3 linked regions of the Ovis aries genome follow. The protein of the gene in region 2 purifies or fractionates together with the protein of the main gene of each other region. This does not show direct contact. Links are inferred from orthologs where the notes say so. Each region holds a gene or a part of one and is shown on either strand. Other genes may lie near its edges.

Evidence for each region.
Region 1: the proteins of DDX39B (region 2) and MYO1B purify together in Homo sapiens (affinity purification with mass spectrometry, with the first as the bait; 3 studies listed by BioGRID). This does not show direct contact. The link is inferred for Ovis aries from reciprocal best matches to the Homo sapiens genes DDX39B and MYO1B.
Region 3: the proteins of DDX39B (region 2) and SRRT purify together in Homo sapiens (affinity purification with mass spectrometry; 3 studies listed by BioGRID and IntAct, with this or other methods). This does not show direct contact. The link is inferred for Ovis aries from reciprocal best matches to the Homo sapiens genes DDX39B and SRRT.

Annotation. Positions count from the first base shown.
Region 1 is NC_056055.1:193,653,094-193,656,740, forward strand, and holds part of MYO1B (unconventional myosin-Ib), read left to right. Parts: intron 1-1,720; coding exon 1,721-1,921; intron 1,922-3,268; coding exon 3,269-3,495; intron 3,496-3,647. UniProt on the Homo sapiens protein: Motor protein that may participate in process critical to neuronal development and function such as cell migration, neurite outgrowth and vesicular transport.
Region 2 is NC_056073.1:26,828,432-26,832,178, forward strand, and holds the start of DDX39B (spliceosome RNA helicase DDX39B), read left to right. Parts: upstream 1-1,461; 5' UTR 1,462-1,688; exon of another isoform or gene 1,689-2,351; intron 2,352-2,714; 5' UTR 2,715-2,844; coding exon 2,845-3,055; intron 3,056-3,747. UniProt on the Homo sapiens protein: Involved in nuclear export of spliced and unspliced mRNA. Component of the TREX complex which is thought to couple mRNA transcription, processing and nuclear export, and specifically associates with spliced mRNA and not with unspliced pre-mRNA.
Region 3 is NC_056077.1:36,206,505-36,210,151, reverse strand, and holds part of SRRT (serrate RNA effector molecule homolog), read left to right. Parts: exon of another isoform or gene 1-80; coding exon 81-227; intron 228-477; coding exon 478-666; intron 667-2,486; coding exon 2,487-2,656; intron 2,657-2,782; coding exon 2,783-2,967; intron 2,968-3,154; coding exon 3,155-3,253; intron 3,254-3,332; coding exon 3,333-3,450; intron 3,451-3,646; coding exon 3,647-3,647. UniProt on the Homo sapiens protein: Acts as a mediator between the cap-binding complex (CBC) and the primary microRNAs (miRNAs) processing machinery during cell proliferation.

The sequences.
Region 1 (3,647 bases), on a different chromosome or scaffold from region 2:
TTTACATCATATTCTGTAGTTTATTGTGAATGAATTGATTGCGGGAAGGTGTGTAAAAGCTTAGGATCCTGACCTTGATAACAAAGTAATCGGAAGCAGTGCATAAATTTAGCTGTCATCATAGATGAGTGCTGTGTTTCAGCAATAGAATCACAGGCTCTAAATGTCCAATAAGTCGTTTGCTATTCATCTTTAACAAGATGTTTTTGAATATTATATAGTTCGCCAGTATCTTTTCCTTCAGTATTAACAATATTCTTGAAAGCTGCACCTCTGATTATTGAATTAAAAAAAGATTCTGAGCCATTATTATTTTTCAATTAAAAAGTAAACCTTGTTTTGAAAAATTTGGACAGTTTTGGATTGTGAACAGTGCTATTCCGCCTAAGCAATTTAAAACTGTAGCCTAAAATTTAGAAAATCAATCGATTTCCTGAAAAGTTTTTCTGGTAAGTTTTGTGACCGAAGAAATTTGCTGAGGGAATTTTAACTTTCAGAAGTTGTGACTAATACTTTTTTCTTCATAAATATAACATTGCACTTAATTGTTTCCCTTCAGAAGGGAGGGGGGTAAAAAAGGAACAATGGTAATACACCTAATATAGCTAAATTATCTCAGCCCCAAATCCCCTTGCATATGTGATTAAAGAAACTCATGTCCTCGTAGGAGCCTGGATACATAAAGGAAATGTTTCCTTTCAGCAACAGCTAACAATAATGTTTATTCTGGGGATGTTATGAACACATTTGATTCCTGAGAGTCCACACTTCCCACAGATTTTGTGTGTGGAATGTTTAAGTGCTGGTCAGAGGATGTCACGGCCTTGTAAAGAGAAAAGGAGAACCATGAGACTTTGCCCTAGTGGAAGTGGGTGGGGCTGATGGTCAGATTGTTCTCCGTGGAATGGAGATGTGTGGGCCCGTAGGGGCAATCGAAGGAACAACAGCCTTTATTTAGCAAAGTAGAAGTTTCCTGATTTTTTATTGGGTTTAGTTGGGCTGACAGCTCTTGGGATAAATATGATCACAGGGTCTGAATACTCAGCAAGCAAATTCTCAGCTCATGTTTAACATCCATTTCGAAATTTAATATGAAAGGAGAATTTTATTCTAAACAGATGATTCTTAAAATATAGCTTGATTGCATTGATCATTAAAAACAGCATCCCAATCACATCACTTTTTTTCCCAGAGAAAATAAACTATTTTGAACACGTGAGCAATTTGGAAACATCTGAAACCAATTTCCTTCTCAAGCTACGAATTAAATAATGGCCTTAGAAGACAGTGCTCTATGATTTATGACTGCATGTTATACAGATAGTAGTGTCACACTAGTTCCTGACTTTCAGATTTGTTTTTTGGTCTTTGCGGTATAAGTTGCCTTTTTCTAAAGTACATAAGTTTCAGTCATCAGCCTGCTGAGGTGGCTGAGGTGACTCCTACGTCCTGTTCTGTGGGGGAGGCACCATGGACGGGGTAAGTGGGGGGAGCCTCATTAAGACACTCCTGCCCCCTCCTCCAGCACACCTGGGACACCCTGGAAGGGGTTGATTCCTGTGTTTTTCTTTGTTATTTGTTTTGATTCTCCACTTTTTGTTGTAACAAAACAGAATTTTTCTTGTGACTAAGTTGATTGTGTTTAACAGCATAATTAGGAATAATTATGAAAACAATACAGTGAGGAAGGAAGGAAACCTTTTTATTTCCTTTCTCCTAGAACACAAACGGGATCCTGGCCATGCTGGATGAAGAGTGCCTTAGGCCGGGCACGGTCACGGATGAGACCTTCTTGGAAAAGCTGAACCAAGTCTGCGCTACCCACCAGCATTTTGAGAGCAGGATGAGCAAGTGCTCCCGGTTCCTCAATGACACTTCCCTTCCTCACAGCTGCTTCAGGATCCAGCACTATGCTGGCAAGGTGTGGGAGCCCGGGACCCCAGGGAGGTCACAGTTACTCCCTGGAGAGCAGACACCTTGCCTCAGAGATGGCATTCTGACCAGCATCAGCTCTGGAGGATAAATGGAGTTGCTGAGGGGGCATGGAATCCATGAATGTTCCGTGGGCATAGAATCTGGACCATACTGAGAAAAATCTTACTAGTACTGAGATCTGAAGGAAAGCCAGAGGACCTAATCAAAGAGTTCAAGTATATATTAAAAAATAAATTTTATTATTTTCAGGCTCAGAGCTAGCCTATAAAAAAGATCTATTTGACACGTATAAAAAATTTGCCAGTAAAAATGAGCAGTCACTAAAGACATACAGTAAGGTTTTAATTTTTTAAATTTTATTTATTTTTTTGATGTGGACCATTTTATAGTACTGCTTCTGCTTCATGTTCTGGGGTTTTGGCTGCAAGGCATAGCTCCCTAACAGGGGAACTAACCCACACCCCCAGCATCGGAAGGCAGAGTCTTAACCATTAGACTGCTAGGGAAGTCCCTACAGTAATTATAAATAAGCTTGCAGACATCAAAGGGGAAACAAAATCTGATTTTGTATTTTGTACGAAGTTGTTTTGTTGTTGTTTAGTTACTAAGTCATGGTCTGACTCTTTCGTGACCTCATGGATTGTAGCCCACCAGCCTCCTCTGTCCATGGAATTTTCCAGGCAAGAATACTGGAGTGGGTTGCCATTTCTTTCTCCAGGAGATCTTCCTGACCCAGGGCTTGAACTAGAGTCTCCTGCATTGGCAGGCAGATTCTCTACCAGTGAGCCACCAGGGAATCCCAAATATGAAGTATATTGTATCTAAATTACCTTTAATTTCAAAATGTTGGAACTTGTTACTTCACTTTTTTTTTTACTAGCCCATGTTATTAAAAAATACTTTTCTGGTCAATTTCCCTGCCAGTGTAGGATGTCTATAAAAATATCAGTGTTATCTGTGTTTTCCCCTGTCTCCTTTTAAACATACTCGAATTGGCACATGTAAACTAAAAAATATAAGTAAAACCTCAAAAATATGATTGAATACCAAAAAAATCCCTAAAATCCTTTGAAAATGTTATGATAACATTTTTGAAGTTTATTCTTGCAAATCCTGAAGGGTAATAGAATTTATTTTGAACTCCTCTGTGATTTAGACAGATGGAATTTAAACTTGGAGGCTAATTTGGTATTAGAGTGTGACTAACGTGTTGAGGGTTTTTTGATGGAGAAAGAAGAGGCTGCAGTATAGATAGTCTCAGGATATTTTTAACAGCTGTTTGATGTTCTGGTGTGCAGTGTATCAGCTACTGAGTCCCATGTGCTGCTCATAGGTGCTGTACCAAGTGGAAGGATTTGTGGACAAGAACAATGACCTTCTCTATCGGGACCTGTCCCAAGCCATGTGGAAGGCCGGACACGCCCTCATCAAATCTTTGTTTCCCGAAGGAAACCCTGCCAAGATCAACCTGAAAAGGCCTCCTACAGCCGGCTCACAGTTCAAAGCATCCGTAGCCACTCTGATGAAAAATCTACAGACCAAGAATCCAAACTACATTAGGTATTTCTGGCACATAAAATTCTTTGGCCATTCAACTATGAAGGCATTCACTAGGAAGATCATTTTCCTGTGTGCTTAAATCTGAGTGTGGCCCAAGCAGAGGAGTAACTAAAGTACTTACAGTTCGAATCATATGGTGTCTTGGGTGTGCT
Region 2 (3,747 bases):
ATCCGTACTTGACATGTCTCCCCTGTTAAATGAACTCTGTGATGATAGGGCTGTTCATTGCTATGTACCCAGATCTTAGGCTAGCACTTGACGCAGGACTGGCAGTTGATAAATGCTATTGAAAAAAAGATATTGTGTGTTGGAAAAACTGCCCTTCTGTAACATCATCCTTGAATCACTGTTATTTCTTTTGGCCACAGAAAACGAGCCTTGAACCAGTGAGGTTATCTATAGGGTATTTATTAAGCACTCTTTAATCAGGGAGACAGGATACAGTAGAGAATAAAGTGGTGTCTCCATTCTGGCTCTGTCACCTTGCTAGCTGTATTACTTTGGACATGTTTATTTCTTTGAATCTGTTTGCTTGATATAGAATGGGAATAATGGTACACCTTGGTGTTAAATGGTTAAGTGATAATAGGTAAAAGGTCAAACGTTTGTTATCAGTTTTGTTAAGTCACATTTGACTTCTGTAGCATATAAAAGTGAGGCGGGAGATATCAAATGTTTCATTCAGGAAAAATATCCAGGATGAACCAAGGGAGGGGTTATTGGGTAAAGGGTTAAGCACATTCTGGTTGAAATAACATTTATTAAAATGTTACGTAACACTCAGGTTTCCCTGGTGGCTCAGTAGGTAAAGAACCAGCCTGCAATGCAGGAGACCTGAGTTCAACCCCAGGGTGGAGAAGATCCCCTGGAAGAGGGCATGACAACCCACTCCAGTAGTCTTTCCTGGAGAATCCCATCGACAGAGGAGTCTGGTGGGTCTGACACGACTTAGCGACTAACCCACCACCATGTAACCCTCATGCCCTAGTATTTATCGTTAACACTTGGGGCAGAATCTAGACCCCCAGTCCTGCAAGCAGTGGCTTCAGAACACCTTCCTAACTTACAGCCCAAGCCCACGGCCCTTAGGACATCAGATACATCAGCCAACCATTACTTTGGGTAAATGCCGTTCCAAGGCTGGGGAAAAGGTAGGGGGTAGGTTCCGTGAGACCTATTCACTATCTACACCTGGGGCTGGCCATTCCCTAACTCCAGCGCCAGCGCCCCCAGGTCACCTTGACTACCGGGCCAAGGACCCCGTGGGAAATCGAAGTCCCGCCAGCTTGGGTCCTCCTGCGCCCAGAGGAGGGATGCCCAGAGAGAAGACCTGAATGGCAAGAATCTAAATGAAGAGAGAGGCGCGGAAAAGAACTGGACACGCGGAAAAAAGATAACAATGGGAAGGATTATAGTTTCCTTGATGCATTTTGTTACTGGTAGTAGCAAAAGGGTAAGAAGTGGCTTAAAAATTTTTTTTTCACGCAGGCATTTTCTAAAGGCAACCCTAGAACGAGCAGAACTACACAACCGTAGAAGGCCCGTCTTCCGGTTCTTTGCGCCTGCGCGCTCGCATCAGCGAAGGCGGGAGGCCGGGTGGAGGGAAAACCGGGAACCGGAAGTGAAGGCAGATTCCCTTCTTCGTCGCTGTTGCCGCCGCCATACGTCTTTGCCTTGCTCAGGTAAGCTTTGGGCCTTCGGCACCATCCGCCTCCATCTGCGTTTCTCTGCGGCCATCCTGTCGCACGAGCTCCTGATAGCCCTTGCACAGGCCATGATCTGGTTGTTGGAGTCTGATTGGGTCGTTAGTTCCATCGCTTGCATCTTTTTCGAGATGAAGAAACTTTGGGGGGGAGGTAGGGAAGCTAGGGGGGCCCAATCCAAGATGGTGGCCCCGGCGCCATTGTGTTTTCTTTGCTTCTCGCTCCTTCGGTGGCCCCCCTCGATTACTCGAGGCCCCAGTGACATTGAGAGGCGGCGCCAGGCGTCCTCTGGTCCTGGGTATTTGCGGAGGGCGGGGTCTTCTCACTTTCCCGCTTATTTCTGGGTCCTCGGTCCGCGGCGGGAATAGGAAGAGGAGCCGGCTTCTAGGCCTACCTGGACGTTTCTCGGCCCGGTTTGCCCACCGTTATTTGGAGCATTTCCTAAATGTTTACGAGTGGTGTCATTGTGTGTTTTTCGGAAACGAGCCATACCTAAGGAGTGATGGAGGAGTGGGTTTTTTTCTTCTGGCCGAGACATTCTTTAGCCCCCACCCTCCTCCGCCACCACCGCCGAAGGATTTTTTACGCGCGAGTGTGAGGTGTCTGAGGAGTGGGAGACTGGAGTGTTGGGAGAGGTGGATGGCAGCCATATGATGTTTCCATTTTGAAAAGTGAGCGCTTTGCTCAATGACGACCGTAAATCTATCACCCTTGACTGATGGCTGCTGTCCACACCTTGAGATTATCGGGAAAGCACAAGGTCTTTCGTTGAGGATTTTTCATTTTGTCACTTAACATTCTCCAGTCTTGTAAATTGTTAGTAGCAGTCTGTTTTTTATGTGTCTTTAATTTTTATCCTTACTGCTGTCCTGGAGCAGGAATTGAGAAGCTGGCCTGGCCTTCCTAGCTTTCCGGTTTCTGCTTCTCCGATCCTATCTTTTTGGGAACCTATGTCCTAATCGTCACTCCTGGGAAACACACTTTTCCCATTCCGTGTGTTATGTTTACCTTTTGTTTCTTTGTCTTGTGTTTTTTTGTTACTTTTTTTCCCCCTTTGTTACTTTTGTTTCCAGGTACATGTGTCGGTTTGGGGAAAGGAAGAGTGTGGGGATGGACGGGATAGATGGTGAAGGCTCTACTCATGACTGATGTCTTCTCCCTGTTTTTCCCCCCTCCCAGCTCTTCTGTCAGAAACTAGTGTGTTTCTTTTCCTCTTCTGTTCCTCAAGCCCCCACTCTCCTCCTCTTGTCTTCCTTTATTCTGCGCTAACCCATCCGGAGACCCTTCCCCTTTTCCTGCCGGCCCAGTTATGGCGGAGAACGATGTGGACAATGAGCTCTTGGATTATGAAGATGATGAGGTGGAGACGGCAGCTGGGGGAGATGGGGCTGAGGCCCCTGCCAAGAAGGATGTCAAGGGCTCCTATGTCTCCATCCACAGCTCTGGCTTTCGTGACTTCCTGCTCAAGCCAGAGTTGCTCCGGGCCATTGTTGACTGTGGCTTTGAGCATCCATCAGAAGGTAAATTTCCTGTTGGGCATGGAGTACTCATTGGTGCTTTAAGGATACAAGAAAACAGATAATAGCCATGGTCCCTTACAGTTTTATATATAGGATAGATCAGGAAATAAGTACCAGAACCTATTTCAGCAGTAGAAGATGTTTATATAGGTTTGTCTTTGTTCATGATAGTATGTAAGTGCTAGTGACTTCAAAGCAACTTAGAGTGGCTTTTCTCCTTGTCTCCTTGTTTTAAATTTTGTCTTTTAATTTAAAATTTCCAAAGAGGAGCTGGTTGGACCCTTGGATCAAATCACCTCTGGTCTCTGTAAACCTTTATGGCTGGTCTAAAGATAGCTGTCTTTTGGGTCAAGTACTAAGTTCTTCCCTGGTGGCTCAGACGGTAAAGCGTCTGCCTGCAATTTGGGAGACTGGGTTCAATCCCTGAGTCGGGAAAATCCCCTGGAGAAGGAAGTAGCGACCCACTCCAGTACTCTTGCCTGGAAGATCCCATGAACGGAGGAGCCTGGCAGTCTATAGTCCACGGGGTCACAGTCGGAGAGATGACTGAGCAACTTCACTTTCACCGGGTTCTTCATTTTGCCCAAGGTTGCAGAGTTATGTCACCCAAAGCATGACAATCTAAGTAGGAGAAGTAGCCTGTGACAGGCCCTCAAAAGTCATGGATTGTTACAGATTAAGGAGCATTGGGA
Region 3 (3,647 bases), on a different chromosome or scaffold from region 2:
CACCCCCCCTCGGTCCCATCCTCTGTCCTCTGGAGAGCTGCTTGCCTTCTCCGTCTGACTTTTGTGTCCCCCACCCTCAGGGATGAGCACAGCTCTGACCCATACCACAGTGGCTATGAGATGCCCTATGCTGGGGGGGGTGGGGGCCCAGCTTATGGCCCCCCTCAGCCCTGGGGCCACCCAGACGTCCACATCGTGCAGCACCCTGTTCTGCCTATCCAGGCCAGGTGAGACCTGCGCTTCCGGGGGGCCGGGAGAAGGGGGTCCACATTTGGGGATGAATTGGGGTGGCTGAGGCCAGGAGAATTGGGTTGGGCATGCAAGGGCACCAGTGGGTGGTGGCAGCCGTTGGTGCCTTGGGCGATGGTCTTGGTGGGCAAAGGGAGAGGGCAGCTGGCTGCCTTGGCCCCCCGATTTCCCCACCCTCTTCCCCCACATCCAAGACTTCCTGACTGGTGCGTCCCCCTGCCCCCCTAGGCTGGGCAGCATAGCAGAGATCGACTTGGGCGTGCCGCCCCCTGTTATGAAGACCTTCAAGGAGTTCCTCCTGTCCCTGGATGATGCTGTGGATGAGACCGAGGCGGTCAAGCGCTACAACGACTACAAGCTGGACTTCCGGAGGCAGCAGATGCAGGACTTCTTCCTGGCTCACAAGGATGAGGAGTGGTGAGTGCCCCTCCTCACCTGCCGTCCTTTCCCTGGCATGTTTCCCCTGGCCCCGCCAGTGGAGCCTGCAGCCCTGTGCTCTCCCCAGCTCACCCAGTCCAGCACTTCTGGGGGCGGGGGAGGGGAGTGTGCCAGCCCTGGCTGATGGGTCTCCTCACCTCCACGTCCGCCACGGCCCCCCCCCCCCCATCTCCCTTCCCCGCCGTCCTCGGTGAGTGAGCCACCTCCAGGCAGCTGGCCAGAGCCACCTGTTCCTCTGAGGCGGCAGACGCACCGCCTCCCCCTTGCCGTTCGGGGTCACCGCCATCCCTGATCGCCGGGACCCTGTGTGGTGGTGGTGTCCTCCCAAAAGCAACGAGTGAATCCAGACAAGAAAAGCAAAGCTCTCAGGATCGTTTGACAGAAAAAGAATTTTGATTTTTTTCCTTTTGTGGATGTTTTAATTTTAATCAACCATCTTTTCCCCCCTTCCTGCTCCTCCTCCTCCTCATCCTCTTTCTGCTCCTCCTCCTTGAAAAGAGCCAGAACTGGGAACTACACCCGCTCATCGACGGAGCTCGGAGCAAACCCACCTCCACCCCCACCATACCCAGCCCATACATGAGCCCCCTGGGCTGACCGCGCTGCCCGGGCCAGGCAGACAGGCAGGGCACCGTTGTGCACAATGCAGCGGTTTAGCTGAATGTGATTGCTCAGGCAGCTAGTCAGTCAGGGCCCCCACCGCGGAGTCCCGCGGGGGTGGGGCACCCGGGCCGGGCGCCCCAGCCAGGAGCCAGCCGTGGCCCACCAGCCAGCATGGGCCCTGGGCGCGGCTAGTTAAATCTTGAGCTCTGTTTGACCAAGCGGCCAAGGTAAAGATCCTGGAGGTGACGCCTGCGGCTCTCCCTTCCTCTTCTGCTCAGCTTGTGGTTCTGTTCTGTCACTGTCTCCTCTTTCTTCCTAACCCCTGTCTTTGTCTTACTCGCTCATAAACCTGTCATTCTCTCTCTGTCCCCATTCTTGCTCCTGTCTAACACTTCTTTCCACTGGGTTTTTGTTTTTTCCTAGTTTTCATTTGGTCTTTATAGTTTTCCTCGTTTTTATTCTGGGACTTTCTCAAACTTTGCCCTTCTTTGCATATCCTAATTCTTCTGTCCTCCCCGCCCCCTCCTGCCCAGGGTCCTATTCTAAGTGTTTCTTTTTCATGCTCTAACCTAACCCTCCACCCCTGTCCTCTCTTGACCCCTGTGGGCAGTACCTGAGGTTATAAGGGCACTTCAGTTTCTCCCTTTGGTCTTTCCCTGTCCCTTCACCAGCTGCTTATCTTCCCTAGAGGGGAGAAAGGTGTCCTGCCTTTTGTGGCTTTTCCTTTCTGGTGATTTCAGGTTTTCCTGTCTTCCACCAAGGGATGGAGGGAGCTGGTGGGAGCAATCCTTTTAATGATTCTAGTTGGGTTGGCAAGGAGAGGGAGGTTCTTTGGGATCTGCTGTTTCTTTAGTGTTAGTCTGGGAAGCTGTGGGAAACTATATTCCTTAAAATTTGTGTTTCCCAGACACTTCGGGCGTCATTCTGCCTCCAGCCCTGACTCCCCCTGTAGTCATACTCTTTGCAAATCTAGAGCTTAGTTCCTGGCTCGCCCCCAGGTCTTCTCAGAGCATAGCCTCTGTTCCTTTCGGGGGGTGGGTGGTTCAGGTGCACCCCTTCCCCTGACCTCCGCTGTCATGACCTTCTGTGGGTGTGAGAGGATGGGGGCTGTGCCCTGACTTTCCCGGGCCCCTCCCCATGTCCTGGCTCTGGCCTCCAATGACTGTTTGGCTCTTCCCTTCCCCCTTCCTCCTCAGGTTTCGGTCTAAGTACCACCCAGATGAGGTGGGGAAGCGTCGGCAGGAGGCCCGAGGGGCCCTGCAAAACCGACTAAGGGTGTTCCTGTCTCTCATGGAGGGTGGCTGGTTTGATAATCTGCTGCTGGACATAGACAGAGCTGATGCCATTGTCAAGATGCTCGATGCAGGTGTGTGGGCTGGGAGGGTGGGCTCGTCTGCTGACCAGGGTCCTGGCTGAAGGTGAAAACTGATAGCAAGCCAGAGGCAGAAGGCCAAGACCCTTGGATTGAGACCTCTGTTCCCTGTGTTGGTAGCTGTGATTAAGATGGAAGGAGGCACAGAGAATGATCTGCGGATCCTGGAGCAGGAGGAGGAGGAGGAGCAGGCAGGAAAGCCTGGGGAGCCCAGCAAGAAAGAGGAAGGCCGGGTCGGACCAGGCCTGGGTGATGGAGAGCGCAAGGCCAATGAAAAGGATGACAAGAAAGAAGACGGCAAACAGGTCTCAGTGCTGGGGCTTCTGGTGCTGTCTGTGAGGCCTGGGGCGTGGGAAATGGAGCCGCTTTAGGGGGTTGGGTATTGGGTGGGCGAGAGGCAAACTTGGACTGAGCTGCTAGAGGCTGGGCAGGGCCCTCTGAAAAAGGCTGAAGGAGAGAATGATGTTCCTGGTGATTTGTTTCTACCTATAGGCTGAAAATGACAGTTCCAGTGATGACAAAACTAAGAAATCTGAAGGTGATGGAGACAAAGAAGAGAAAAAGGAAGACTCTGAGAAAGAAGCCAAAAAGGTAGGTTCTCGCTTGGATAAGGTCACAGCCCGGGCTGGGTCCTGGTACCTGACTCCCCCCCTTGCTATGGGTCTCACAGAGCAGTAAGAAGCGGAATAGGAAGCACAGTGGCGATGACAGCTTTGATGAAGGCAGTGTGTCCGAGTCGGAGTCAGAGTCTGAGAGTGGCCAGGCCGAGGAGGAGAAGGAAGAGGCTGGTAGGTTTTATTTTCAGTCTCTTCCTATTGACGGTGCTGGGGAGGGTGAGGGGGCTGGTGTGGAGGCAAGAGGCGGGTGAAATTAATAAGGAGGGGGCCCTTTTGGGAGAGACTGGTTGGGGGAGGCTTAACAACTTCTCTGTCTTCCCCTCACCCAACAATAAATTTTCGCCGGCTCCCACTGCCCCCTGCGTAGA